7 linked regions of the Canis lupus familiaris genome follow. The protein of the gene in region 5 interacts with the protein of the main gene of each other region in a pairwise test. Links are inferred from orthologs where the notes say so. Each region holds a gene or a part of one and is shown on either strand. Other genes may lie near its edges. The genes, in order: ZGPAT, BYSL, KRT13, LMO4, TLE5, NEK6 and CRACR2A.

The links.
Region 1: the proteins of TLE5 (region 5) and ZGPAT interact in binary tests that used the Homo sapiens proteins (3 or more experiments, as listed by UniProt). The two-hybrid records come from large-scale screens. The link is inferred for Canis lupus familiaris from reciprocal best matches to the Homo sapiens genes TLE5 and ZGPAT.
Region 2: the proteins of TLE5 (region 5) and BYSL interact in binary tests that used the Homo sapiens proteins (3 or more experiments, as listed by UniProt). The two-hybrid records come from large-scale screens. The link is inferred for Canis lupus familiaris from reciprocal best matches to the Homo sapiens genes TLE5 and BYSL.
Region 3: the proteins of TLE5 (region 5) and KRT13 interact in a two-hybrid assay, tested with the Homo sapiens proteins (2 studies listed by BioGRID and IntAct). The two-hybrid records come from large-scale screens. The link is inferred for Canis lupus familiaris from reciprocal best matches to the Homo sapiens genes TLE5 and KRT13.
Region 4: the proteins of TLE5 (region 5) and LMO4 interact in binary tests that used the Homo sapiens proteins (3 or more experiments, as listed by UniProt). The two-hybrid records come from large-scale screens. The link is inferred for Canis lupus familiaris from reciprocal best matches to the Homo sapiens genes TLE5 and LMO4.
Region 6: the proteins of TLE5 (region 5) and NEK6 interact in binary tests that used the Homo sapiens proteins (3 or more experiments, as listed by UniProt). The two-hybrid records come from large-scale screens. The link is inferred for Canis lupus familiaris from reciprocal best matches to the Homo sapiens genes TLE5 and NEK6.
Region 7: the proteins of TLE5 (region 5) and CRACR2A interact in binary tests that used the Homo sapiens proteins (3 or more experiments, as listed by UniProt). The two-hybrid records come from large-scale screens. The link is inferred for Canis lupus familiaris from reciprocal best matches to the Homo sapiens genes TLE5 and CRACR2A.

The regions. Positions count from the first base shown.
Region 1 is NC_049245.1:48,102,663-48,106,681, reverse strand, and holds the start of ZGPAT (zinc finger CCCH-type with G patch domain-containing protein), read right to left. Parts: upstream 2,801-4,019; 5' UTR 2,743-2,800; intron 2,549-2,742; 5' UTR 2,525-2,548; coding exon 1,932-2,524; intron 1-1,931. Other genes in the region: ARFRP1 (ADP-ribosylation factor-related protein 1), read left to right, coding at 3,300-3,392, 3,521-3,608, 3,762-3,844. UniProt on the Homo sapiens protein: Transcription repressor that specifically binds the 5'-GGAG[GA]A[GA]A-3' consensus sequence. Represses transcription by recruiting the chromatin multiprotein complex NuRD to target promoters.
Region 2 is NC_049233.1:10,768,326-10,772,308, reverse strand, and holds the start of BYSL (bystin), read right to left. Parts: upstream 2,801-3,983; 5' UTR 2,644-2,800; exon of another isoform or gene 2,437-2,643; 5' UTR 2,423-2,436; coding exon 2,155-2,422; intron 1-2,154. Other genes in the region: MED20 (mediator of RNA polymerase II transcription subunit 20), read left to right, coding at 2,979-2,992. UniProt on the Homo sapiens protein: Required for processing of 20S pre-rRNA precursor and biogenesis of 40S ribosomal subunits. May be required for trophinin-dependent regulation of cell adhesion during implantation of human embryos.
Region 3 is NC_049230.1:21,136,624-21,140,793, reverse strand, and holds the start of KRT13 (keratin, type I cytoskeletal 13), read right to left. Parts: upstream 2,801-4,170; 5' UTR 2,651-2,800; coding exon 2,132-2,650; intron 1,079-2,131; coding exon 996-1,078; intron 812-995; coding exon 655-811; intron 478-654; coding exon 316-477; intron 228-315; coding exon 102-227; intron 11-101; coding exon 1-10.
Region 4 is NC_049227.1:61,435,912-61,440,184, forward strand, and holds the start of LMO4 (LIM domain transcription factor LMO4), read right to left. Parts: upstream 2,801-4,273; 5' UTR 2,257-2,800; intron 181-2,256; exon of another isoform or gene 89-180; intron 1-88. UniProt on the Homo sapiens protein: Transcription cofactor. Plays a role in establishing motor neuron identity, in concert with MNX1, acting, at least in part, to disrupt LDB1-LHX3 complexes thereby negatively modulating interneuron genes in motor neurons.
Region 5 is NC_049241.1:56,593,515-56,596,384, reverse strand, and holds the end of TLE5 (TLE family member 5), read right to left. Parts: intron 1,787-2,870; coding exon 1,712-1,786; intron 1,625-1,711; coding exon 1,403-1,624; 3' UTR 501-1,402; downstream 1-500. UniProt on the Homo sapiens protein: Transcriptional corepressor. Acts as a dominant repressor towards other family members. Inhibits NF-kappa-B-regulated gene expression. May be required for the initiation and maintenance of the differentiated state.
Region 6 is NC_049230.1:58,759,089-58,763,362, forward strand, and holds the start of NEK6 (serine/threonine-protein kinase Nek6), read right to left. Parts: upstream 2,801-4,274; 5' UTR 2,690-2,800; intron 1-2,689. UniProt on the Homo sapiens protein: Protein kinase which plays an important role in mitotic cell cycle progression. Required for chromosome segregation at metaphase-anaphase transition, robust mitotic spindle formation and cytokinesis.
Region 7 is NC_049248.1:4,848,759-4,852,258, forward strand, and holds part of CRACR2A (EF-hand calcium-binding domain-containing protein 4B), read right to left. Parts: intron 2,756-3,500; coding exon 2,649-2,755; intron 1-2,648.

The sequences.
Region 1 (4,019 bases), on a different chromosome or scaffold from region 5:
TCCATTGTCCCAACAACTATGAAAGACAACTCTCGTTTGTTTTACAGATAAAGAAATTGAAATACAGACCTTAAGCTATAAAAAATGAACGAAAAAATACTGTATCTCACTAGGAACCAAGGAAACACAAATTCAACCATGATCCCATTTTCCCAGCGCTCAGCAGGCAGGAATCGGCAGTGATAGAGAGGATGAGGGACGAGGCACCGGCCTTCATACGGAAGCGGGAACTCTGCACACTCTCGACACACCGGTCCCATACTAGGGAAATTCTCAGGCAGGTACAGAAGAAGACGCTACTAAGATGTTCACAGCAAGCTGTTTGTAACAGACAAAAACTGGAAAACATCAGAAAGGAACATAATAAAATGTGGCACATTTGTGAGAGAAAAGAACATAGCAGTTAAAACCAATTAAACAGCTCTGGAGATACCAGCACAGATGCCCTCTCACATCCCTGCTTAGTGAAAAAAGCAAGTTGCAAAATAAACCATCCTGTGTGACACCATTTGTTTCAAAAGTAGCACAAAAAGTTACTCTTCTCATATAGGCTCCTGTCTGCGGAGAGCTAACATCTGCTAGAGGTAAACACAAGGGAGTTGTGATCACAGCCTGGGAGGAGAAGGGGCTGTGACACAGCTATTTTTAAAAATACAAAGCAGGGGCGCCTGGGTAGCTCAGTGGGTTACTGAGCTAAGAGCGTCTGCTCAGGTCCTGCTCAGGTCCTGATCTCAGGGTCGGCTCCGAGCTGAGCAGGGAGTTTGCTTGACATTCTCTCCCTCTCTCCTTCTGGCTCTCCCTACACGGAGGGTGCATACTCCCTCCCTCTCTCTCTCACAAATAAATCTTTAAAAAATAAATAAAATAAAAATGCAAAGCAATGCAAGAAAAGCGTTGATCTGTCTGGCAGTGGCAAGTGGCTGTCGTAGGCTGTGCCAGTCGGGCCTATAGCTAACACAACAGAGCAAGGCACAGCAGTTGGGGGCCGAGGCAAAGCTAGCCTGTGCCCGCTGCAGGCTCGCTCGTGCCGCCGTCTGTGCCAGGCAACCTTAGCCGTGGTGGGGCCCACCCCTGGGGCTTGCTGCACGGAGGGGTCAACACACGTGAAACTCCTGGCCCGGAGCCTGGCCTAGAGGAACAGCACACGGACACGTCAGCTCTCATCGTCACAAGGGGCATCACCCGGGCCCGTGGAGGCACCCAGAGGGTAACGGCAGAGAGGACGAGAGGGCTTGCTGGTCTGTTCTCTGACCTGTTTGTTCAGCAGCACATGGATGGGTCTGCTTTGTGAAAACTCCAGTACGTTTCATGATTTACGCACCTTCCCGTACGGGTGCCACACTGTAATCAGACTTACAAGGAAAGAAAGGATTGTGGAAAATCGTGTTAAAGGACGCTCTGGACCCAGCAACGGTCCGTAAGCAAAGACAAAGACCAAAGGACTAGAGAGAGTTTCCCTGGGTTATTGACTCAAAAAGAAAATCATCTGCAAGACTTGGTAAACATTCCTTCCACAGATGGAAGCGATAAGGAGCAAAAGCCGAGTCGGGCATTTTAAGGAAAGAGTGACACCGTTGCCACAGTCGTGTGAATCTCATCATGAACAAGATCCAACTTACGGATTTGTCAGGGATGCGACCCTTGAGCATCGATTGATGAAAGAAAAAAAAAAAAAAGAAACCAGTGACTTCTACGGTTTCCTTTACACGGTGCAGGCAAACAAGAGGAAGACAAAGGAGAGAGCAAACACGAGCCTGGCAAGGAAGGGCTGATCAGCGGCGAAGGGGGCAGCGGGCGGCCCCACGCCGGGCCCTGCGGGGCTGCGACACTGCATTTTGCAAGCTTCCCCCGAAAGAACCAGAGCAGCGAAGGGTGGGGCACCGTGCCTCCCAGGACGGCGCGGCCTACCTGCGCCCCTGCCCCGGACTCACCTGCAGCTGTCCTGGAAGCGGCACTTGCCCTCCAGGAAGAAGGGGCAGGGCTTCAGGGACTTGTGCGTGGGGTAGAGGTAGAGCACCCGCACGCCCGCAGAGCCGTCGCGCGCCGCCTCGGTGCCCACGATCATGGCGTTGTGGTACTCCAGCGTGCCCCAGGAGCTGTAGTACGGCGCGTTCACCTTGCGGCCGCTCAGCGCCTCCTCCTCGTCGCCGTCCTCGTCGCCGGCCCGCTCCTCCTCCCCCTGCCCGGGCCCGCTGGGTGCCGGCTCGGGCTGGCGCTCGCGCTCGGGAGCCGTGTCCGGCGCGGCCCCGGGGGCTGCGGGCGCTGCGGGCCCCGCCTGCTGGGAGCCCCGGCTGTCGGCGTCGCCCGGGGCCGCGCGCTCCCCGTCCAGCGCGGCCAGCAGCTTGCTCTTCCGGACGGACACCAGGCTGGCCTCGGTGAGCTCGATGAGCTCCTGGAGGTCGCCGCGCAGCTGCCGCAGGTCGGCCAGCTCCGAGGGCTCCAGGCCGGCGCCCAGCGCCAGCTCCACCTGCTGCAGCTGCGCGTCATAGGTGTGCAGCGCGGCCTGCAGGCTCTCCTCGTCCATCCTGCGGCCCGGCGGGCGGCGCGGCTGCAACGACGGGGAGCCGCTGAGCGCCGCGCCGCCCCCCGCCCCGCCCCGCCCCCGCCGCGGCCCGGCCCGCTCCGCCCGCCCCGTCGCCTCGGGCCCCGGCCCCGTCGCCCCAGACCGCGCCCCCTCGCCCGGGCCGGGCCCCGCCTCCGCGCGGGCTCCGGGCCGCCGCCATAGAGCCCCGCCGGCCTCACCGGCTAGAGCGGCCGGCGCCCCCGCCTCCGCCCTCGCAGCCCACCGGCACTTCCTCCCGGGCGCCGCCGCCGCCGGAAGTGCCTCGCGCGGGGGACGCCGGGACGCGGCGCGCGGGGAGCGTCGGGACGGCCCCTCCCCCCCGCGGCCTGCGTCCCGTCGGGCGCCGCGCGAGGTCAGCGCGGGGTCGGCGCGGGTCGGCGAGGTCAGGCGCGGGCGGCTCCGCGGCCCCGACGGGCGCCAGGTAGCGCGGGCCGGTCGCCCCGGGGCGGGGGGGGCGGGGCGGGGCCTCGGGGGCCGCACCCGCCGTCGGGCCGCGACGCCCGCCGGCCGCCGCCTCGCAGCCCGGCTTCGGGGGGGGGGGTTCGGACGCCGCCAGGGGCTCCCGCTGCGCGGCCGCCGGGCACCTGCTGGGGCGGGGGCGTCGTCAGCCCGGGGAGCCTGACGTCACGGCGGGCCTTCGGGGGCGGGGGCGCGGGGGGAGGGGGAGGGGAGGGGGGGGAGGGGAGCGCCCCGGCTCCCAGCCCGCCGCGACCGCCGCCTCCGCTGCGCAGGCAGGATGTACACGCTGCTGTCCGGCCTCTACAAGTACATGTTCCAGAAGGACGAGTACTGCGTCCTGATCCTGGGGCTGGACAATGCGGGCAAGACGGTGGGTGCCCGCCCCCGGCCCTCCCCCTCCGGGCGGCCCCGCCCGCCCCCACGCGCCCCCCGCCCGCCCGGGACGGACACCGGACACCGGGGAAGCCGCCCTCACCTCCCGCGCGCGTCTCTTCGCAGACGTTCCTGGAACAGTCGAAAACCCGCTTTAACAAGAACTACAAGGGAATGAGTCTCTCCAAGATCACGACCACCGTGGGTCTCAACAGTAAGGCCCCCCCCCCCCCCCCCGGGGCGGAGGGCTTGGGGGGCCGCCCGGGCCGCCTCGGGGAGCCCAGAGCCGCCCGTCCCTGGCCTGGCCGGGAGGCGGCGCGTGGCAGCGGGTCCCCAGCCTGTGCTGTCCTCTGTCCTCTCCCCGCAGTCGGCACTGTGGACGTGGGAAAGGCTCGCCTCATGTTTTGGGACCTGGGGGGCCAGGAAGAGCTGCAGTCGCTGTGGGACAAGGTAAGCCGGCCGTGCCCAGGCCGCCCCTCGCACCGCTTCCTCCAGGGACACCCCCGGCCCAGCCTCCCCTCAGCTCCGTCCCCCACTGTGTCCCTGAGGCTCCCCCCAGCCCTGTCCCAGCTCCCCCGTTGCCCCCACCCTCGAGAGCGAGGACCTGCCAGTTCCCTTTTAACTC
Region 2 (3,983 bases), on a different chromosome or scaffold from region 5:
AGGAATAACCAGGACAAAAGCCCTAAGTTAGTATGTTTAAGGAAAAATAAAGCCTGTATGGATGAAGAGAGTAAGGGGAAAGTAGTAGAGGAGGTCAGATTGGCAACAGGGGCAGATCATGGAGGTCTTTTAAGTCATCCAATTATTGTGAGTGGACTGTAAGGGTGACTGTATGCTAATTAGGAAGCTACTAAAAATAATCCAGGTGAGAGATTATGGTGGTTCAAATAGGACTGTGTTCCAAGGTGATGAGATGTGGTCTGACTCTGATTTATTTATTTATTTATTTATTTATTTATTTATTTATTTATTTATTTATTCATTCATTCATTCATTCATTCATTCATGAGAGAGAGAGAGAGAGAGAGAGAGAGAGAGAGAGACACAGGCAGAGAGAGAAGCAGGCTCCATGCAGGGAGCCTGACGTGGGACTCGATCCCGGGTCTCCAGGATCAGGCCCTGGGCTGAAAGCGGTGCTAAATCACTGAGCCACCCGGGCTGCCCGACTCTGATCTATTTTGAAGATACGAGTCAACAAGATTTCCTAACATATCAAATGTGGAATAAGAAAGAAATCCAAGGCTTGCCTTGATCAAATGGAAGGATAGCATCCTATTAACTGAGCTGATAGTGGGAGGAGCAGGTTTGGCGAGAAGATCAGGATTTCTGTTTTGGACACATTAAATTTGAGATCTCTTGGGACGCCTGGGTGGCTCAGCGGTTGAGCGTTTGCCTTCAGCTCAGGGAGGGATCCCAGAGTTCTGGGATCAAGTCCGGCATCGGGCTCCCTGTGAGGAGCCGGCTTCTCCCTCTGCCTATGTCTCTGCCTTCTCTCTGTGTCTTTTATGAAAAAATAAATAAAATCTTAAAAAAAATAAATTTAAGACGTCTATTAGATTTCAAATTGGGGATGTCAAAAAGGCAGCTAAAATAGAAGAATCTGATTTTCATGGAAGAGATCAGGGCAAGAATACAAGGGTGGGAACAGTTACCAAATAGATGGTACTTAAACCGTGAAATGGATGACAGCACCAGAGAAGAGATATGAAAAGAAGAGGTCCAAGAACCAAACTTGTGGCATATCAATGATAAAAGGCTGGGGACAAAAGAGCCAGCAAAAGATGCTGAGAGGTGAAGAAGTACTAAAACAGGAATGGGATGGCTCAGAAGCCAAGTAAAGATACCGAACCCAGGAGGCCAGTGTTTAATTGTGTCAAACACTGCTCTCAGGACAAATGAAAGATGTGACCTGAGAAATGTATTAAGTGACCCGGAGGTCAACACTTACACCCTAAAAAATTAAAAAAAAAAAAGACCATCTTTTTATTAGTCTCTCTCCCTCTTTATAGCACCTAAACAATATCGTTCATTCTGCTTAGAGCTCTCTCTCCACTAGTTTTCAGCACCAAAGTCATGTAACCTAGGAACCCTGACCCCCAAAACTAATGCTCTTGTTTTAAGATGAAACTATACTTAAAAAAAAAAAAAAAGATTTTCATTTATTTATTTACAAGAAACACACAGAGAGAGGCAGAGGCATAGGCAGAGGGAGAAGCAGGCTCCCCGCTGGGATCCCGACGCGGGACTCCATCCCAGGACCCCGCGATCCTGCCCAGAGCCCAAGGCAGATGCTCAACCACTGAGACACCCAGGTGTCCCAAAACTATACTTTCATCATGAAATGTATTATTCGAATCGTCAATTTAATTGTCTCTCAGGTTAGACTGTAAGATCTTGAAGTCAGGGTCATGGCTATCTTGCTTCCTTTTTTACTCAAAACCATCTAAACTCCTACCTAGCACAGTGCAAAGTACGGACTAGACAACCTACAAGAATGTACAGAACAGATGGATAAACGTTAGGAGTGCTCAATAGTGTGACCAATTAACTTCTTGTTGGTCTAACTTAGAGACTGCCTAGACGCAAGCATCTAAAGCAACAAGTGGGCATAGAGAGCTCTGACCACCCTGAATCTATTCCAGGGCTGGGTCTCCCATTTCATCACCTTTGCAAGGGTGTGATGCGGACTCCTTATTCAATTTCACTTTTTTTATTCCAAAGGATTCCCCTGGCAGAACCTTTTGGCCGTCTATCTACTTCCCCCTCCCTCCAAAACTAACCACCCTCTTCCTGGCACCCCCCTCCCCCACTTACCCAGACGCGTGGTGCGCTCGCGCGGGGCTGCGGCCTTGTTCCCAGTCCCATGCTCGGTCTCGAGTTCCTCCTGTTGCTGCCGCGCTTGCTGCAAAATCCGTCGGGTCAGCCGGGGCCCCACATACTCTTCGTCCTCCTCTCTGGTCCCACGACCCCGCCGCTTCTCCCGGGGCCCTGCCCGCGCCGCGTCCCCAGCCAGGATTTGCTCAGCCAGCGGCGCATGTTTTTCCTGGCCTGCAGCTCCGCGAGCCGGCTTGAATTTGGGCATTTTTTTCCAGAACTCTGCCAGAAAGGTTTACACGTGGGGTACAGACGAGGAAAAAAAAAAAAAAAAGCCTTGAGCGCACTTGCGCCGTGAAGTCCCAGCTCCCAAGAGGCCCCCGCGGAGCTCACAGCGCCTCCCGGCGTCCGGAGGCCGGGAAGGCCATCAGCGCCGCCACACCCCGTAAGAGCGGGGCCTGGAGCCAGCCGGTCCCCGAATGAACTCACTGCTTCTAACGCTGGCTTCTGCAAGTGGTGGCAGTCCGAGCGGTGGTTTTCTACTTTCATAGATCGAGGACCTCTGTTCCCAGCCAAACGTGGACTTGCCTAGCTGCAAAGCCGGGGCCAGAGTTGGGTAGTGACGTCACTGGAGGCGTCACCGAGGAGATGCCTAGACCTGCCCCTGTTCCTCGTGGGCGCGTCGACTGGACGCTCTCCTTTTGCGTCATTTCCGGAGCACCTCCCTCGGCCGAAGCTTTCGTTAGGGGTCTTCACTTAGTGTGGGCGGCCAGAGACTACTGTGATCCGATTGTTTGTTCCTGCCATCCTCCTGGCCCGATACCATGGGAGTGACTTGGTAGGCCCGCAGGGGACTTTTTTGGGCGGCGCTCGGGGTCGGGAAGGGCCCCGGAGCCCGGAGTGTACCGGGAGGAGGGCCGGGACCAGGGACCGCGGTCCCCCATGAGCTGATGAAGATAAGATATCTTCGGAACGTGTGGGTGATGGAGACGCTGCGAGGGCTGCAGATTCTCCGCGCTTGTTTGCTCGGAGACACTTCCCTTCGTCCTGAAAGGCGGCAGGTGAAAGGTTTTGTCCCAGGAGCCCATCAGTGGTTGTGTTCCTCCTTCCCAGGAGGCCATAGGGCTGCCCGAGGTGGAAATTAAGGATGCCCGAACTAGGACCCAATCTACAGGCGTAGCTAGAGGAGGTAAAGGATAGGCAACGAGGAAACCGTCTTTTTTTAAAGATTTTCTCCTGCCCCTCCCTACAGCCACTTAATGCAGTTAGACCGGCCCGTGTCTGGTTCTGGTGCGGCCGTCTTAAGATTTTCGGTCTAGAGGGAAAAAAAAAAAAAAAATAAGCAGCAGCAGCTGTTGGGAGGTAGATTGGGGTTTAGGCACGTCACCTCTTCAGAATTCGTTTCCTACTATGTTTAATTGTATGGTTGGTGTAACTAATTACTATGGACTTTTAATCTCTCAACATGATATAAGTGGGGTGGCAGAGAAAGGTATGGGCCTAATGCTCTTGGAGAAAATGCTAGATTTTAGGGATTGTTTTGTTTTGAGTACCGGTAAGTATTAGCACGTTTCTAGTTAGGGCTGGAGCCTGTGGGAACCACTCTTTTTTTAAAAAAAAATTTTAATTTATTTATGATAGTCACACACACACACAGAGAGAGAGAGAGAGAGAGAGGCAGAGAGAGGCAGAGAGACATAGGCAGAGGGAGAAGCAGGCTCCATGCGGGGAGCCCGACGTGGGATTCGATCCTGGGTCTCCAGGATTGCACCCTGGGCCAAAGGCAGGCGCTAAACTGCTGCACCACCCAGGGATCCCTGGAGCTAGTC
Region 3 (4,170 bases), on a different chromosome or scaffold from region 5:
GCCCGGCTTTCTGGTGGGACAACAAAGAAGTGATGAGGGGAGCCAGGCCAGGCAGAGAGGGCAAGAGGTGGCAGCCACTGGGCAGGGGGCAGCAGGTGTACCATGCTGAGCTGGGACTGCAGCTCGATCTCCAGGCCCTGGAGCGTACGCCTGAGCTCCGTGATCTCTGTCTTGCTGGTCTGAATCATGGCAGTGTTAGTAGACACTTCCTTGTTCAGCTCTGCACTCTGAAATTAGAGCAGGAAGAAGGTTAGAGAGGAGCCCAATGGGACGCCCCAGCATCCCCCAGCTCCACAAAGTAAGAAGGCCGGGTACCTTGCTGTGGAACCATTCCTCGGCGTCCCGTCGGTTCTTCTCCGCCATGGCCTCGTACTGCTCCCTCATCTCTGCCAGCACACGGGTCAGGTCAATGCCCGGGGTGGCATCCATCTCCACGTTGACCTGGCCTACCATCTGGTTGCTGAACTCCTTCATCTCCTATAGGGATGGAAGTAGGAGATGTGTGAAGCTCCTCATCCCCCCTCTTCTTGGCTCTGAGGGCTACCAGCATGTGCTGAGAAGCGCTTCCAGGTCCCACAGCAGAGAGCTAAATCTGGCTGCTCCCCTTTATCACTGGAAGCATTTCAGCCATGGAAGGCCCCTGCCAGCCCTCACCTCCTCATGGTTCTTCTTCAGGTAGGCTAGCTCCTCATTCAGGCTCTCAATTTGCATCTCCAGATCGGTCTTGGACAGGGTCAGCTCGTCCAGCACCCGGCGCAGGCCATTGATGTCGGCCTCCACGCTCTGGCGCAGGGTCAGCTCGTTCTCATACCTAAAGAATATTTTTTAATTGGAAAAGCAACACAGAAATTATATTAGACACTCCCCTACTTCTGCACTGGACTCCACTACTTCTCCAAGACCTTCACTCCCAGGATGCTCCGATTTCACCACTGAGACGAGCATTTGTCTCAAATAAAAGAGTTTGAAAAGGCCAGCGAGGAAAATGAACTCACTTGAGCCTGAAGTCGTCTGCCGCCAGCCTGGCGTTGTCAATCTCCAGAATGACCCGGTTATTGTCGATGGTGGCCGCCAGGATCTGCAAAATACAGAAGGTGGGTACTGGAGGGTCCACAAGCTTGGGGAGGAGGAAGAGAAAACACAGGCAAGACTGTTGTCCAAAACTGCCTCAGCACCTGTCCCTGTGAGCTGGGATAAGGCCCTTCTCTCTGGGCCCTGGTAAAGTGAGGGGCGGGGCAGGTCCTTCCTCGGGCTCTGTCACTCGGGCATTCTGTGTCCGGCCGTGATGGGGAAGGTGGGAATGTACATTTCAGAGGAATGACCCTGCCCAGGGTATCTTTGGTTAGTCATGTCTTGAAAGCCTCAGACTAGCCATCTCTCTAGTTTATCATCATGACAGCCTATTCCTTAAGGTGGGGGTGAGGGGTCAGCCTGGGTCCACACAGCTCATAGGAGGCTCACTGGAGCTGGCCTCCGGGCTGAGCAGAAGGAAGAGCCAATACATATTCCCATCCATTTGAATTTCTTGTCTAAACTCTCATATTCTGAAGCGGTTAAAATCTACCACACATAGCTGGGACCCAGCCCAGGCAGGTGGATTTCCGTTCCAACAAGCTGGGACCCCAGTGTGACAGACAAGCCGTGATGAAGGAATCTCAGCTCCGCTTAACCCAGCCTAAGCCTCTGCCTCCACCTCCCACACCTCACAGCCACTTGAGAATAACAGTGTGAATGGGGCCCCTACAAAAGCAACTAATATTCCCAGACCAATGAGTGAACACATATCCCTTTCTCTGACGATTTTAGTCATGGTTTCCAAACCGCTCAGTGGGTTGGAATTATAGGGATCAAGTTGTTAATAACATAACTGTTTGGAAAGCAGTAAAAATGTTGATATGAGTAATAACAGCAGTAAAAATGGACAATGGGAAAGAACTCATTTGGGGAGCGGTGGCATAAGAAAGCTTATCAGGAGTAGAGACTCTCAGTAGTAAAAGACTAGAATTTTCCTCCACAGGCGAGGTGAGGATCCCACCACACAATGTCCTCTGGTCCTGTGGGATACCGTGTTCCCTGGCCTCTGCAGCTCTGCCCAGCTTGGAAGAAAGCTCGCCAACATCCAAGGGCTCACCTTGTCCCGGAGCTCCTCGATGGTCTTGTAGTAGGGGCTGTAGTCCCGCTCCGGGCTGCTGGGGCTCTGCTTCAGGTGCCAGTCTCGGATCTTCACCTCCAGCTCGGTGTTGGCCTCCTCCAGGGCACGCACCTTGTCCAGGTAGGAGGCCAGGCGGTCGTTGAGGTTCTGCATGGTGATCTTCTCATTGCCAGAGAGGAGGCCGCCATCGCCACCACCGTAGTCACCAAAGCCGCCGCCAAAACCCCCACCAAAGCCACCTCCGAAGCCACCTCCGAAGCCACCTCCGAAGCCTCCGCCGAAACCACTACCAGCCCCTCCACCGAAGCCACCCCCAAAACCACTACCAGCACCCCCACCGAAGCCGCAGCTCATGCCACCCCCGTATCCCCCAGCTGATCCCCCAGAGACAAAGCGGGTTGAGCAAGTAGAGATACTGCGGCCTCCTCCCAGCTGACAAGAGCCACCCCCGAAACCACCTCCATAGCTGGCAGAGGAGCCCTGCAGGCGACAGCTCATGGTGAGAGCAAGATGAGGAGCAGGTGTGGACGGGAGCTGGGCTTGGCCTGGGCCGAAGACTGTGGCTCTTCCCCAGAGTGGGAGCCTTTTATACTGCCCTCCACAAGGTTGGACAATTGCCCCATCTTCTCTCCTCCCTTCCCCACCCTCTGACTGGTGCCAACTGCACTTCTGTTTCCCACAAGCCCAGTTACCTCTGCTCTCCAAGGTGGGTTGTGCCTTTGGGGGTGGCTTTTTTTTTTTAAATCCTTAACAAAAGGGATGATTCAGAGGGAACAGTGCTCTGCCTGAGACTACCCTTTTGACAGCTGAATTCCATTTCACGTCTGCACTTAGGGAGCTCACTCCACAGGCTCTCAGCTCCACCCTGCACTAGAATGGGGACGGAGCTGCAAGGTAGCCCTGTGCTTTACAAAGTCACCGCAGCTCTCAGCTCCCTTCTTTCTATTTCTAAAACTTCGGACTAGAATGTTCTGCATCCTTGTTAGCATTTCACCTACTCCAGTGCTCCCAGCGACTATGACGACGAACTTCGCTTGGTCCTAGAGGATCGACTACCTTGAAGGTATTTAGGCTGGGGGGAAGAAAAGCTCCAGGACTAATGTAGATCCTACTAGCCGCCCCATTTTACACATGGGAAGTCGAGACTTTAAGGGTAGTCAGGACTGAAAAACCCAAGTCTGGTTCTATCTGATACAAAGGCTCCTTTTTTAGGTATATAATTCATACAGTAGATTGCACAAACCATTAGTGTCTAGCTTAACACATTTTTACCTACGTAGGAAGCTTCAAGCATGTGTTCACCTGTGTACCCTTCACCCGGACCATTTTCAGCGCTCCATAAAGCTCCCCATACCTTTTCCCAGTCAATTACCCACACCCTATGCACCTAATGAGACCACAATCCCACTTCTGTCCCCATCAGTTAATTCAGAGATCTCAGCGAGGGGCTCTTTTTGCTCCCTGGAGAACATTTGACAATGTCCGCAGACATTTCAGTCGTCCAAACACGGGGATTCTACTAGTATCTAGAGCACAATTACCAGGGATGCTGCTAAATATCCTACAATGCAGAGGACAGCCCCCATAACAAAGAATCCTCTAGCCCAAAAGGTCAATAGTGTGTGTCGAGGTTGAGAAGCCCTGGATCAGTCTGACCTCTGTATTCAATCATACCATCATACCAGCTGCCTTAGAGGCAGAGTCAAATCCAGAAAGAAAGTCTTTTTTTTTTTTTTTAGATTTTTTTTTTTTATTTATTCATGAGAGACACACAGAGAGACGCAGAGACACAGGCAGAGGGAGAAGCATCGCTCCAAAGGGACTCTGATGCTGGACTCGATCCCAAAACCCCAGACCACACTCTGAGCTGAAGGCAGGTGCCCCTGGAAAGGAAGTCTTATATAATGCCTAACAGGGCTCTTTCTAGAACCCTGATCACAGGACATCTGTCTCAGCTTGTGAGCATTTGATCAAGAGGCCATATAGGAGGATGCAACCCACTCGCCGAGGGGGCCAGG
Region 4 (4,273 bases), on a different chromosome or scaffold from region 5:
GAGGTGGTGGGAGGGGAGGCAGGGGACGCGAGGGAGGGGGTGCGGTGTGTAAAGTTGCGAAACTGGTTTTTCGTATTTTAAACAGCACCTTTCACATGCCATTGTGGTGACCGCCATCTCCCATTATTGTTCCAAATCTCATTTCATTTTGAAGATCAATGAGTGTTTTCTCTGGGTTTTCAGGACACAGGCAAGAATAATAGATCATTGAACTTTAGGATGCCTGTTAACTTCCTATACAAACACTCTCCACTTTGGTCTCACTAATCTGCCCTTGATCAGCAATTTAAATGCTAAAGCTTTGTTCCTCCAAAGGGGGGGGAGTGTGTGTGTGTGGGGGGGGGGGGGGGGCGACGTTACAGATAATATGCGAGAAGGCACTATTAAGGGATGCACAAGTTATATTCGAGCCAGTCCTGCTGTCACCAAAAACTGCTTTTAAAAAAATTCCCCACTCTTTCTAATGAATGTCACGAGAAGCAACTGGGGTATAATATAGGAATCAATTTATAAAGCTTAGCCTAAACCGATTAATTTGTTGCCTCCAATCCTGAGTCCAATAAAGTCCTAGTGTTCCTCCAGTCACTTATTCTATAAAAAGATCAAGTTATTTACTGCCAATTAAGCAGCCTGTTTTGTCTTTGTCCTCTGTAAGCCGAGAGTGGAGGCTCCCCCCGAGGCTCCCGGCTATCTGCTCAAGACATTCAGCTGATACCTCAGAAGGGAGAGGGCGAACTTTGCCTGTCCCCGGCCCAACTTGGCTGCTGCAAAAAAAAAAAAAAAAAAAAAAAAAAAAAACAACCAGGGGAAGGGAACGAAACAAGGACTCGGGTTCCTTAAATAGGCCGATTTTAAACACATTTCCTCCGAAAGAGTCCCGGAACGTGTGTCCAGTGACCGCACAATAAACCAGAATAAGAACTGCACCAATTAAGCTGTAACAAAACCCTGAGACTTTGGAAACAGGACCACTCTAAAACCCATTAGCATTGCATTTATCCGAATGCATCATACCTTTATGTAAATTGATTTATCTGATGCATTTACTCGAGGAATTGCTTTTTGTTACAATTTCAGCCCTAACCCAAATGAATCTGCATTTCCTGCCCGAGGTCTTTAAACTGTTTCCCCCAACGTTTTAATCGCTCCGAATTCCTTTTTAAAAGGGGAGAGGGAGGGAGGAGATTCCAAGCTCTTCCCCGCCCCCATCTTTGGTGAGAGGTAAATATATATGTATATTTTTTTCGAAAAGGAAACATTACACTGAGAAAAGCATCCAGTAACCCCATTAGCTAAAGCTCTTAAGGACAAGCAATACCTTAATGCTGATTAAATCTAAAAGAGATGAATCAAGAGGACTGACCAGAAACTGACTCCCCTGATAACTAAGGACGGGCCCTCATCAAGTTTCATTTAGAGTTGGAAAAAAAAAAAAAAAAAAAAAAGAAAGCTTTTAAGTTAAATAGGCTTATACTCTAGTAATTACATAGCCAAGCAATTTAGGTCCTGGGATAGTCAGTGAAATAGAAAGCAGAACTGGCAGCTAGAGGCAAAATCTGCCCCCCTTTAACAACGTCTCTGGTGTTTTTTAATGGAGACCAGGGGAGGGACAAACGTAGCGCTGGCAATTTGTAGTACAAAAATGGATGCTTAATTCATGTCTTGATTTTAATTAGGTGATTCACCGGATTTCTCCTGGATTGGAACAAAAGACTTATAAGCCAAGAGGAATTTTTGAAAAGAACCAGCAATACTGAATCCTGCTCACTTAGATCCTTTCTGCCACTGTTTCAAAAATAGTGTTTACTGGGGGGCTGGGGGGGGGGGTCGTGACTATTTCCCCCACACTACTTCTCATACTTAAACCCTCATTTAAGCACCTCCGGCCTTTCCCTTAGGAACTGAAAATACCCCCCCACTACCACACACACACACACACACACACACACACACACGCACACACGCACACACACCCCTCCCCACCCTCCCAGGTCCCCAGCAGCCCCGTCTCCAAGAAGAACCCTTTTGTAAGCAGGAACCGCTACAAAGCTGGCGGCCCGGGGCCGGCTGCCCTCCGTGCTAGCTCGCAGGCCGGCCTCGGTAGTTTCAGACTCGCGCATTATCCAAGCCGACGTATTGTTTACTTGCAATTTGGGACGGTCAAGGGAAGGAAGCCAAAGAAAACAGCCCTGGCCCACATCGGCCCCCTCCTCCCTCTGCCCCCCCTCGCCCGCGGCTCCCCAGCCGTCCCCTTACCTGCTTTTCCCCTATATTGCAATACTGCGAGAGGCGGCGGCGGCGAAAAGCGAGCGAAGCCGCTCGGCTTCCAAGGAAGGGGCGCCTTGGCTGGCGGAGCTGGAGGGAGGGGGGATGTTCTCGCAGAAGCAGGAAAGGGGAGGAGGGGGCTAAGGGCTGCTTTTTTTTTTTTTTTTTTTTTTTTTTTTTAAACGCGTCGCCCTGAGGCTGGGTCGGGGGGCCCCGCCGTAAGCGGCAGGCGGCCGGGAGCTGGAGTGTCAGGCTGAGTCCTCCGCGTCGTCCTCCGCCTCCGCCTCCGGCTCCGGCTCCGCGCGAGCAGCTGCAGGAGCCCGCGGCCCGCGCGGCGCGGCTTCAGGCGCGGCGCAGCGGCAGCAACTGCTGCAATCGCTGCTGCAAGTTTGGCAATGTGGCTTCACTTTGTATATGCCCCCGCCCCCGCCCGCGCGCCTCCCGCTCCTCCTCCTCCTCCTCCTCCTCCGCCTTCCTCCCTCCCGCGCGCCCGCCCGCCCGCTCGCTCGCCCGCTCGCTCGCTCGGGGCCGGCGGCGGGCGCTCGGCCGCGCTTCCTGCCCCTCCAGCCGGGGAGCGGCCGCGGGCACCAGAGCCCCGGAGCGGCGGCGGCCGGCGCGGAGGCCGGGAGCCGGGGAGCTGCGGCCGGCCGGGCCCGGCGCGCTGGAGCCTGCGCCGCTGCCCGGGCTGCTGCTGCTGCGGCGGCCGCCCGGCTCGGAGGAGGCGGCGGCGGCGGCGGCGCTGGCCTCTAGCCGGCTCGCTCGCTCCCTGCGCGGCGCTTACACATGTGTTACTGACAGAGCCGAATCCCAACTACTCCCCGGCTCTGCCGCCGACGTCAGCGACCCTCAGCCACTGGGCGGCCGGGTTGTTCAGGCGGAATAATAAAACCTGCCAATCCGGGGCAGGACAAAGGGAGGACTGGAACGAGACTCCGCGGGCGGGGGAGCGGGGGAGGCGGCGGGCGGAGACGGCCCGGCCGGGGGCAGGTGGGCGGCCGAGCCCCGGGGACCCTCGCGGGACCCCCGGCGGGACCCCAACCCCCTCCCGCGGGGGGCAGGATGGAGCGGCCGGGGGCGCCGCTCCTGCCCGCGCCGGCGATCGCGGGGACCCGCACCCGCGCGCCCCTCGGGGACCCCCCCCCCGCGCGCCCGCGCGAGCCCCGCAGGAAACTTCTCGTCTTGCTCAAAAATGGGTCCCCTCCTGTTGGGGAGGAAGAGTCTCCCCGAAACCTCCGGGCGGGGGGCTTCGCTCGCACGCAGAAGAGGTTTTGTTTTTCTGCCTTTAATTCGCGGGCGTTGGAGACGGATGAGCCCTTAGTGGGAAGTTGAGCGAGCGAGGAGGTGGGGACCGAGTCCGCAGGTCTTGCAGGACTTGGCCGCCCGGCCCCGGTCCCCCGCGTGGGCCCGAGCGCCGGCCGAGAGCCCCGTGGGCGTCTCGTAGGGGATCGTCCGAAGTCGGAGCTGAAGAGCTCACAGCCCGGACTTTGGGGGTCCAGGGGAACTTCAGGGAGGAGGGCTCGGCCTCCATCCACCCCTGCTGTGCAGGAGGAGAGGCCCGATTCCTCAAGCCCCCCGTCCCCCCCCCCCTCCCCCCCCAGACAGCAACAAGGAATGGCAACATTCACCATCCCACAGCCTCTGGGGAGGAAGAAAGGTCACGTCTAGTATAAATTTAACTGTTGAGGAATGCTTTTAGGGTGCTGCTAGCCTGAGAGTCTTTTTCCAGGGCCCCGAGCTCAGCCTAGATGCTTGAGTACCTAGTCATTCAACTTTATCTGCTCTGCCAAATAGGTTTAATAAATCTCTGATCTGAGGCTAATATTAGGTCTGATTATTATTAGTAAGTTCCAGAGAGATTTTTCTGGTGGAAATTATCATGAAAGTGCAAAGCCCTTCTGCTAAGTATCATTAAGTTAAAACCAGCCTTGTGGGACGAGTTTTCATATTGTATTACATACAGTACTGCTGGATTGAGGTAAGGGACCTGCAGAAGAGTCTGGCTTAGACA
Region 5 (2,870 bases):
CCTGGGGGGGCAGCCGGAGGCCTCTTGATAGCCTTCCTTGGGGTTCCCCTGGGTGGTCCAGCTGGGGCGTGGCAGGGACGCCTTGGACAGGTCCTCGGAGGGTCTGGTTCAGCTGGGGGGGGGGCGCTGTGTGTTCTCTGATCTGGCCAAATGGGCAGAGTGGGGATGCAGTGGGCGTGGGTCCTGCGGGCTCAAAGTCTGGTGTCTAAGGGAAAAGAATGGCACCGAGGAGCCCTCTGGCCTGGGGATGGGAAGCCGGGTCAGCTCCGCTTCAGGCCCCTGGGCCGGGCTGTGTGACCCAGAGCCTCCAGCTGCCCCTCCGGTCTGGGCATCAGTTCGGGAGACAGACTACAGGGACAGGCCGGACCCCCCACCCCCACGGGGACTCTCCGGATCCGGCCCGTCAGGAGGAGGGAGCTCAGACACGAGGGAAGCCCCCTCCTCCCCTGGGAAGGGGGGCACCGCGGCAGCCCACAACACAGAGGCAGGAACAAGGCAACCAACCTTCTCACATCTTTATTTGAAAGGCACAGCTAAGCCCACCCTCGGTACAGCAGTCTCCCTTCTCTCCGCAGCGATCAAACGACTCTACACAACAAAAGCTGACAAGTCTAAAAGGCTATATACAGACACAGGTGTGGGTGTTGCTTGTTTTTTTAAAACATTTTTCTGTCCTTTTTTTCTTTTTTTTTTTTAAATATCCCTTTTCTTAAAAGACAAGCTAGTGTACTGGAAAAAGGAAAAAAATAAAATAAAAACCAAGACAACTTGAGTACCCTCATCTTTATTGGGGAAGGGGAGAAAGGGAATTCTGGGACGCCCGCCCGCCCCCACCCCTGCGCCTGGCTAGGCTCCCTCTCTCCGCCCCCTCTCCTGCAGGGGAGAGGAGCGGTGGGCGTGGGCTCTGGAACTAGCCTTGCGGAGGAGGAGGGGAGTGAGGGGGGAGGGACGCGGGGTGCCCAGGGCGGGAAGGGGCAGCTAGCGTGGTGTTTGCATGCAGTGCCAGGGTGGGAGGCTGGGGGCGCGCCCTGAGGGGCCCGGCGGGCGCGGGCGGGGAGGTGCGGGGGTGCTGGGCTTCTGGAGGCTCTGCTGTCTTCGGGCCTGGCCTCCCCTGTGCGCCTCCAGGCCTCAGCTTACCTCCCGGGTGGAATGGGCAGGTATTGGCCCACTCCGGCTGCAGGGGGGGCGGGGAGGAGGGGAGAGGGAGGAGGAGGAGGGAGGCTGGAGCCGGGGGTGTGAGAAGCTAGGGGTGGCACACAGGCAGGGCTAGGACCCCAGCAGGCGGCTACCATAAATACTACCGAGTTCAGCCAATCCCGAGCTACACTGTGTCTTGCGCTAAATGTTCCTCTCTCCATGTCTGTGTCCCCTCGCCCCCCCACCCTCCCCACCCCGCCACCCGCTAATCCGACTTCTCGCCGTCATCCTCCTGGTGGGTGTCACCGTCGTGCCCGTTCTTGTCTTCCTTGGAGAGATGGGCCTGGGAGCCCAGCGCAGACAGCGAGAGGAGGCCGGTGCCGGCACTGACGGCGGGCAGCGAGGGTGGCTGCAGCCCCACGGGCAGTGGGGTCAGGGGCAGGGCCAGGGCCTGCAGCTGGGACAGCTGATGGGCTTGGAGCTGCTGCTGCAGGGCAGACGGAGGGAAGCATTAGCTGCCTGGGGCCCCTGCCCACCCAAGGCCCACCCAAGGCCACCCAAAGCCCAGACGTACTCGGATGATGGAGTTCAGCTCGGGAGCGGTGACCTGCTTAGCCCTCTCGATGGCTCCCAAGACCTGCTGCTGGTGCTGGAAGGGGGATGGGGTAGAGACAGAGGAGCCAGGTGCTGTGCCCCGATCTCTGTGCAGGTTTGGGGCACAGAGCCCAAGAGGAGCCACCCTCCCTGCCCCCGAAAAACCCCTCCCTCCAGCCGCTTCTGTTCACCAAGCCCCAGTCTCTTCCTCTGGAAAATGGGGACAAATGACAGATTCAAGAAGACCCAAGGGGATTGGTGCCAGATACTGAAGAAAATGCCATTAGGGGAGTCTGAGAGAAACCCCGGACCATGACCTATTCAATGCCATGTGCAAAGGAGTCAATGAACAGTGCACAACCTGGCCAACCATACAGAGAAGACCTGATCCTAAGAGCCTGCAGCCTGTGCCTCTGAGATCTGCTAATCCAAGATCCTCTCCTTGCACAACTGGGGAAGGCCCAGTGGATTCTGGGTTCAGGGCAATCCCTCCCACACCCGAGCACTCCCTGAAAGTCTGTTTCTCCTGCCAGTTTCCCTTTTTGCCTTGCCTACCAAGAAGTTCCTGTCATGAAAGGAAAGCACAAGTCTAGGTCTATCAGAGCCCCAAGAACCCCCTTCTCTAGGGTTTTCATAGTATCCTTCTGGAATTGTCTCTGGGCAAGCAGGTTACCCAAAGGGCCCCAAGACATGGTCAGGAATCCAAGAGGAAATGATAAATTATGGACAGGAAGCCTGGCAGAGGGCAGGAATGGCTCCGGTGATGGAATGGGCCTCACACCAACGGTCTTAAAACCCCAAAAAGCCGGGATGCCTGGTTGGCTCAATGGTTGAGCATCTGCCATTGGCTCAGGTGGTGACCCTGGGGTCCCAGGGTCGAGTCCCACATTGGGCTCCCCGCAGGGAGCCTGCTTTTCTCTCTGCCTGTGTCTCTCAGGAATAAATAAATAAAATCTTAAAAAACAAAAAACAAAAAGCCAAAGCAAGAGCTCAGTGCGTGGTTCCCCGGGGTGCGTGTCCACGCGTCCCTGCGTTCATGTGCGTGCAGACCTGTGTCTGCAGGTGCGCGTGCGAGCCTCATCTATCTGTGTTGAGCCCGTGCACGCCTGCCTCTGTGTGCACGTGTGTGTGCAAGTGCC
Region 6 (4,274 bases), on a different chromosome or scaffold from region 5:
CAGCCCTTTCTATCTGACAGTCCTGGCCCTAGGCATGGGTCATCCACCGCCGAGGGGCAAGAGTAGACAAGGAAGGAGGGCAGCACTTCTGGGAAGACGTCTCCCAGAAGCCCAGAGCCTGGTGAGGAACCTGGCCCCGCAAGAACCTGGAACACAGTGACCTTTACTTTCTACGTCCAATGGAAAGATGGAGGGCTCTGCTCAGACAAGCCTGACTTCAACCGCACAGCATCCTGTGATCTTTGGCACATGATTTCATCTGTGTCCCCAGTTTTCTCATCTGTAAAATGGGCACCATGATAGTTCTGTCTCTGTGCTGCCGGGTGGACTGGGTGAATTTAGGTACTTACAGCTTTCGTGCCTGGCATATGGGATGCCCTCAACAAATGGTGGCCATTAGTTGTGATGCTACTTTCATAAAATTATGCCTCGTATTCCATCTCTCTGAGCCTCAGTTAGGTCATCTGTAAAATGGAGATGACAACCCCCAACCTCATGGGGAAGATGAAATGAGTAGATGTGTGTGAAAGCACCGAGCACCCAGCCTGTGCACCTTCAGAAGACAAGTTATCAGGCCCCTGGTGTGGAGGGCAGACTGGAAGTCAGGGAGGTGACAGGATTCTGCCTCTACCTCCTCTCAGCAGTCCCAAGACACAGGGTTGACAGAGACACAGGTCTCTGTGTCTCTGCGCCCACAACTACTAGGAGGATTAAAAGTGCACACAGTAGGTGCTCCGTAAGCATGACTTCCCCTGCCCTTCCCCTGCCCCCTCCTCGCTCAAAGCCACTGGAAACGTCACCTGGCAAAGCCAGGAGCTTCGATTCTTGAAACCCGAATGATCTGAAATGGCTCAGAGCCCAGACCAACCTGGGCCACTGCTTCAGTCTGAGACTTTATTTTCTGAAGACAGAAACTACTTTTAGTCATTTCCGAAGCAGACAGGACGGCAGAGGCTGACAAACCACAGGGACCATTTTAAATCCTGGGCCTTTTCTTCTGGGAAGTTAGGCAAGAACCTTCCCAAATGTTTGCCCGTGGGGCTCTCTGCCAGGGAGTGACTCATCCACAGCTCCCCACAGGCATATTTTATTTGGGGAGTGGGGGATGGAGGGAGGGCCTGGCCTTGAGGGGAGAAGAAGAGGCAGCCTTTCCAGCAAACCCAGAAGGTGGGTTGGGTTTTGTTTTGTTTTGTTTTTTTCATTTCTTTTTAGGACAAAAAAGAAAAAGAATGTGGATCTTTTTTGTTTCCTTCCAGGTTTTGTTTGCTAAAAGAAGACGTCCAAAGTTCACTCAGTAAGCTGCTGCGTTGGGAACAGGCGCCTCCAGCCGCTCTGCATCCCTTTCAATGAAATTCTTCTTCCATTAACACCACGATTTTTAAATGTGCCTCCAAGATCTGCCTGCGCACGACATTTTCTCCTCAGAAAGTCTAGCTGAGTTTTGAAAATTCAGGGGGACGAGGGAGTTCAGTGTTTCTGAAGTTGCCCTTAAAGCAATCGAGACTTTTTTTTAAGATTTGTTTATTTGTTTGTTTACTTATTTATTTATATGAGAGACACAGAGAGAGAGAGGCAGAGACACAGGCAGAGGGAGAAGCAGGCTCCATGCACCGGGAGCCCGACGCGGGACTCGATCCCGGGACTCCAGGATCGCGCCCTGGGCCAAAGGCAGGCGCCAAACTGCTGAGCCACCCAGGGATCCCCAATTAAGCCTTCTGACTGCAGAGATTTTCAACATTTCTAAAGCTCCCCCCAAAACTGTGTCAAAGCTGCGCAGACAGACCTTGGAAATCAGTGTCCCAAGCCTGCTGTGATCAATTTGTTACTGTCTTGGGGGCTCATGCTTGGAGCCCAGGCTCAACAAGTAAATAAGTCAGATGAATACGCATCTAGTCGACAGAGCAGGCAGAGACAGGGCGAGAGACCCTCAGATACACAGACAAGTGTCCTGGCACCCCTGGCCTTCCCAGGGTCACCGTCCCCCATCCCCACCCCCCAAGGCCCGCGGGAAAGATGAAAATCTGCCCGGGCCAGAGACCGGAAGAAGAGGAGCCAAGGGACCCAGAGGGGGGTGTTCAGGAAGAACTGAGGCCGCGTCCTCTAGCAGCAGGCCGAGGAGCCCTGCCCGCCGCAGCAGAGCCGCAGCCCAGCCTGAGCATCCTGGGGCCCCACCGAGGCCCGGCAAGGAGGCCTCCCCGTCTGCGGGGCCCAGCCTGGCTCTGCGGGTCTGACCTCCGCCCCCCTTCGGCGCGCGAGGCCCCGCACCCGCCGGGAGCCCACCCCGGGCCTAGTTCCCTCCGCGGGCTCCCTGGCACCCGGGAGGGAGCCGCCTGGTGGGTGCAAGGAGGTGCCCGCCCGCGTGCGTGAGAAACGCATTCACACCCTCCCGGACGCAGGGTGCATGTTCGCGTGCACGGACACGTACACTTTTGTCCTCAAAGGCTCCCAAACGCGCCCAGAAGTCACTCGTGAGCACTCGCGCACGTGCACACACGCACGCCCGGAGCCTGGAGCACGGCTCCCCATCCCCACGGCACGGGCCCCGCGAGCGCTCGGCCCCGCGGGAGCCCCGCCGCGCCCCAGCCCGCCCGCGGCCCCGCACGCCACCGGCCGGGCCCCCGCGACGCGCGCGCCCCCGCCCCCGCCCGGCCCGGTTCCGCCCGGCCCGGCCCGGCCCCAGGCCACTCACCGGCGCGCGGGCGGCTCGGCTGCCTCGGAGGAGCGGCGCGCGGGCGGCCGGAGCGGAGCGGGGCGGAGCGGGGCGGAGCGGAGGGTCCCACACTCGCGGCCGCACGCCCGTCCGCCCGGTTCCGCCGCCGCCTGCGCGGGCCCGCGCGCTCCCGCCCCTCCCCGCCGCGGGCCCGCGCGCTCCCGCCCCTCCCCGCCGCGGGCCCGCGCCGCCCCCTGCGCTCGCTCCCGCGCGGCCGCCACGCTGGCCCGTGGGCGCCCCGGGGAGACCGCAAGGCGCCCGGAGCCCCCGGGGCCGCGAGACGTCCGCGCAGCCCAGGCGCCCCCTCCCCGTTCCAAAGATGGGGAGACTGAGGCCCAGACCCTGCCGGCGAGTCGGCGCCAGCAGACCCCCCTTCACCCCTAGTCCCCGGGCTCTAGACGCTCAGGGCTGGGGTCCGCACTCAGCGAACCGGGGACCCGCCCCCGCATCCCTGGGTACCCCCCGACGCGGCCCCCTCCACGGCCCTGCGCACCCTGGGTAGCCAATCAGCTCTTATTGCGCGCCTACTGGATGCGGCGCACGTTTAGGAGGAAGCTCCAAGGGCATCTCCGCCTGCTGAAGGTGCTGCCCCCTGCCCTCAAAGCGCCAGCGTCTCCTTATATGGAGCTCCCCAATGCCTGTGAACCCCGAGATAGGGAGAGTCGAGGTGCAAAGGTTTCCGGGAGAAGGCCCTACTGAGTGGGTAACACCCTCTCTAAGGAGACAGAGTCTCCATGGGGCCCCGAAGGCTGCAGCTGGCCTCCTAAGGGAACCTGCGCGCCCCCTTCCCCCAAGAAGGGCTCCGGGCCGGCTCGCTCAGCTCCCGCCTCCTGCATCGGCCGCTGCTCCTCCACAGGCAGGACCGTGCGGTGTCCCCCCAGGACGCCTGGAACCAGGAACTGACACTGACCACCTGCCGGCTGTCCAGCTTAGTGACAGCACCGTGCCGAGCCCGCAGAGGACCCCCCGGCGCTCCACCTGGCTGCGACCTGTGACAGTAACGACACCCGTAGGACCCCCGCCAGGTGTCATACTCACAACCGCACAGCCATTCTGCGAAGGAGGCGTTATGCCACTTTCATGCCCGTTTTACAGATAAGATAAATGAGGTTTAGAACAGAAGCTGAGAGAGCCCAGTTCTCTTGCTCAAAGTCACCCAGTTGGTAAGGGTTGAGCAGGGAGCTAGACCACAGCACAGACTAACTCCAGTGCCCAGTCTCGGCAGTCCCACCTCATAAACAACATAGCTCTGGACTGCTGGTATAAGAGGGCACGGGGGACAGCTGGCACAGACGGCCCAGCCCAGTCCCAGCCTTGCCGTGAACCAGCAGGGACAGAACAGGTCATTCTACACGTTGGTTAGCGGTTTGGTCGGGGACCTACTTACAGTCTCACTTCACATGATACGCATCACAACAGATATCAGATAGATTGAAGAGGTAACTCCAAGAAATAAGCGTTTCAGAAAGTGATAGAAATAAATAGAAGTTCTGAGACAGTGTGTTGCAGTGTTGCTGGCAGGCCAATGATTAGGGACCGTATCAATGCAGTAAACATTAATTTC
Region 7 (3,500 bases), on a different chromosome or scaffold from region 5:
GTGGGGGGCTGAAGCAGTAATGGCACAACTATATACACTTCAACAAGCTGTGAGAAGTGCCAAAAAGGGGTAGTAAAGGATATAAAGAAAGGAGCATAAAAGATCTGGAAATAAAGCATCTTTAGTTAATAATCAGGTGACCTTGGCTGTAGTCCTGACACCAGCCCTTACTGACTGCGACACTAAAGAAAACACTTCAACTCTTCCAGCCTCAGTTTCCTCACCATGGAATGTGGCTCATCTGCCTTGCCTATCTCAGTAATAAGACAATGCATAAAAACAGATGTCTTCACAAAATAGTCCTCAGCAAAATGAGTGAGGAGGTGTTGCTGCTCTGTGAGGAGCCCCCACCACTGGCTCAGAAGCAACTGCCCATTTGTGGATGGGCTTTGGGTAGCAAGGAAGTCAGGCAGGGCCCCTCTACCTGCCTTTCCTACCTTTCTCTTTCAATGACCCTGCTAGTCAGTGTCCGGAATAAGTGGCCTCAGAGGCCTACATGCATATTTGCTTCCAGAAGCATCAAGAACAAGGGAAAGCAGTAGGAGGTAGAGGAAATTGGGCAACCAGATATGAGCCAATGCACAGGCTGTATTTTCAGGTTTTGAGAGCAAAGGCCTCACTTCCTGGCACAGGAAGTCAAGTCTCTGTGAATAAACAGTTAAAGCTGAGAAGGGTTTTAAATGGAAATCTGGCAGGGAGAACCTTAAGTCCAAAAGTGAAACACACATGCACACACACGCATGCAAGGATTAGAAAAAAAAAAAAAAACGGAATGCAAATTAGGTGAGCAGGTGACAGGGCCAAAGGAGAAAGAAGATAGATGAGGGTCACATGATATGAAAAACAGTGAAGCTCCTTTCATTTTGCCCCCTGGCTTATAAAAGTTATTATTCCTAAGAACCAATAATAGGAAGGGAAAAGAAAAAACTGCATGTATCATTGTTCTGAAGTCAAGTGCAACTCTGAAAGATAAGAGAGTGCTTGCTCACAAAAACGGTGACTTAATTTGGGTCCCTTGATACAAAATAAAGAATTTTGTAGCAATTCAGGGACCTTCTCCTTTATTTATAAAATCATAGTTTTTAATAGAAGCTGACTGTCCTCTTTCCAACAAATTTCTTCTATAGTCTAACAAGCCTACTGATGGCTTATCCGCTTTAGAACACAATTAGTATTCCAATCCATTTTCACTCTGCTGACACACACAAGTACACGCATGTGTGCACATGCAATCCAGTGTGCCCATACACACACAGCATGTTGTTTGGAAGGCCTTGCAACCAGAAAAAAAAAATGACTAGGGAAACAGCCCTAAAATGAAGCATTTCTTAGAAAATGCTTTTGATTTGGGAAATTCTCAAACACTACTGACATCCTGTAATACTCTCAGCTTAGCATGACTAAATTCATTTTTGGTTTTGCCACCAACGGCTACGTATGAGCAGCAGACAGTGGTGGTCTCTGCCAAAGTCTGTATTGGAATTTGGGGTGCATGATTTGTTACTTATATGATTACTGTTTCTTTTTCTTTTACTCAACCCTAAGCTCCAGGAAAGCTAGGGTTTAGCTCACCACTCTAGCACAGAGCATAATATCTTGCCCATAGTAGGCACTCAATATGGATATGGCAGGATTCGTGTTTAGTTTTGGAGTCTTCACAGAACTGAAAAGAATGTCGGTTACACAGCAAGCAAGCAGTGAATGTCTATTGAATGAATATATTCAGCGCTGAGCAACCAACAGGCCAACTATTATTGCAAAAACTTGGATCCCAAGTTGTATCCCTTTGCTGAGCTATTTAGAAAAGGAATTGAGGATAATTGGGTCCAAAGATTTGACCAAGGTGCTTGTCAGGGTCTCCAAAGTCACTTCCCTTTTTTGTATTGTGTATTTCATGCTGCTGTCCTCAGGGTCTCCTGGATGAGCAAATTCGTGAACTTTCTCCCTACCTTTGATATTTAGGGGTCTGGTTGCCTTTGCCTTTTTGTGGCTGTCTATGTGGATGGAACACATGCCAAAAAAGAAGAGAGGGCAGAGGACTGGCTTGTCTCTCTCAATGTGCAACGAGCCACTCCTCTCGGGACTCAAACTCGATTATTGTGCTGTCTAATCGCAACCAAAAATGTTATCTGTGAGGTAACATTAAATATGAAGCATTGAGAGGAATGTGTCAAGCACGGGCCCCATTCCTGTGTGCAAAGGAGCTCAACTGTTGGAGACACCATGCCACACTTTAATTACCCTTCAGAGCCAAAATGTCATGTCCCCAAAAAACCAAGTGCATCCATTCTGCTTGACAGAGAGCAGACTATCTTCCAGCCACGTTCCACCTCTCTCCCTTGACACCTTTCATCTCCCTTCTTTCTCTACTCTTCTAATTTCCGGCACCTCTTTGGTTCCTATCTGCAGGCACATACTAGAAGACAATGTCCTGTCCTAGAGATCTGCTCTGCGCAGTCCTCCTGACACCTGGATGTCAGAACAGGAAGGAACATGTCCTCTGAGATTCAAGGGGAGTGAGTGCAACTGGCTCTGGGCTTCCCCACTGGGGCCACTTCTTGAGAGCCAACCTATGCGCTCAGAGCCATCTCCCAGGAGGTGCAAGACAAAGGAACACATAATGAATGAAGAAATCCAGGATGACTTACCTCCTAAGGATCCCTCTGCCATCCACATATTTGCCTATCACAGAGCCAGATCTCTGTTTCCAGTTTGCTTTGGAAGCAGCTGTGTTTGCCTTGGCCGCCTTATCTTTCTGTAGAAACACAAAGTGCCCTCAGATCCACACCTGCTGATTTGCCCTACTGTGGAGCCCCAAAAGGGCTCCACTTCCCCCCTTCACAGGTCAGGTTCTAAACAAAATTCCAAAATTAGAAGTTTTGGTTTTGGCTTCTCAGTACAAGACGACTTTCACTTAGTTTGGTTGGGATCTAAAAAAAAACAAAAAAAAAAAAAAAAAAAACCTGCAACCACTGCCATCCTCCAACACTGCCTTTTATCGCCAGGATCTTGCCAAGTTGTAAGGGAGCTCTTCCACCTGAACAAGTTAGAGACCCACACACCACGCTCTAAAGTACAACTGATTTCTCTGTTGTTCTCTTGCTGTGGGAAACAGCTCTCTGAAAGGCCTTGAGGATCCCACAAAAGCAAAGTACAGCAAAAGCGAAGGCTTTCTTTCTCATTTTGAAAGCTGTTCATATAACCATATCTGGCATAAAGAAAAAAAATAGAACTTACAGCTCACACTGGGCCGTACAATCAGTAGAAAGGCCCCAGCATTGACCCCCTGGTCCTTCCCTGGCACATCTGAAAGCTAGCTCCTCCCGCGAGGCCCCCTATTGGCTTGAATCATTTGCCTGTTTGGTTTGCAGGGTCTCCTCTGCAGGGAGAGTTCTGGAAATTAGTAGCCCTCCCTCAACTGTACTTGGGGTTACATAATTTAAAAAAAAAAATAGACATAGACAGCTATGATAATCAGTGCATGAGAGTATAAAATACTA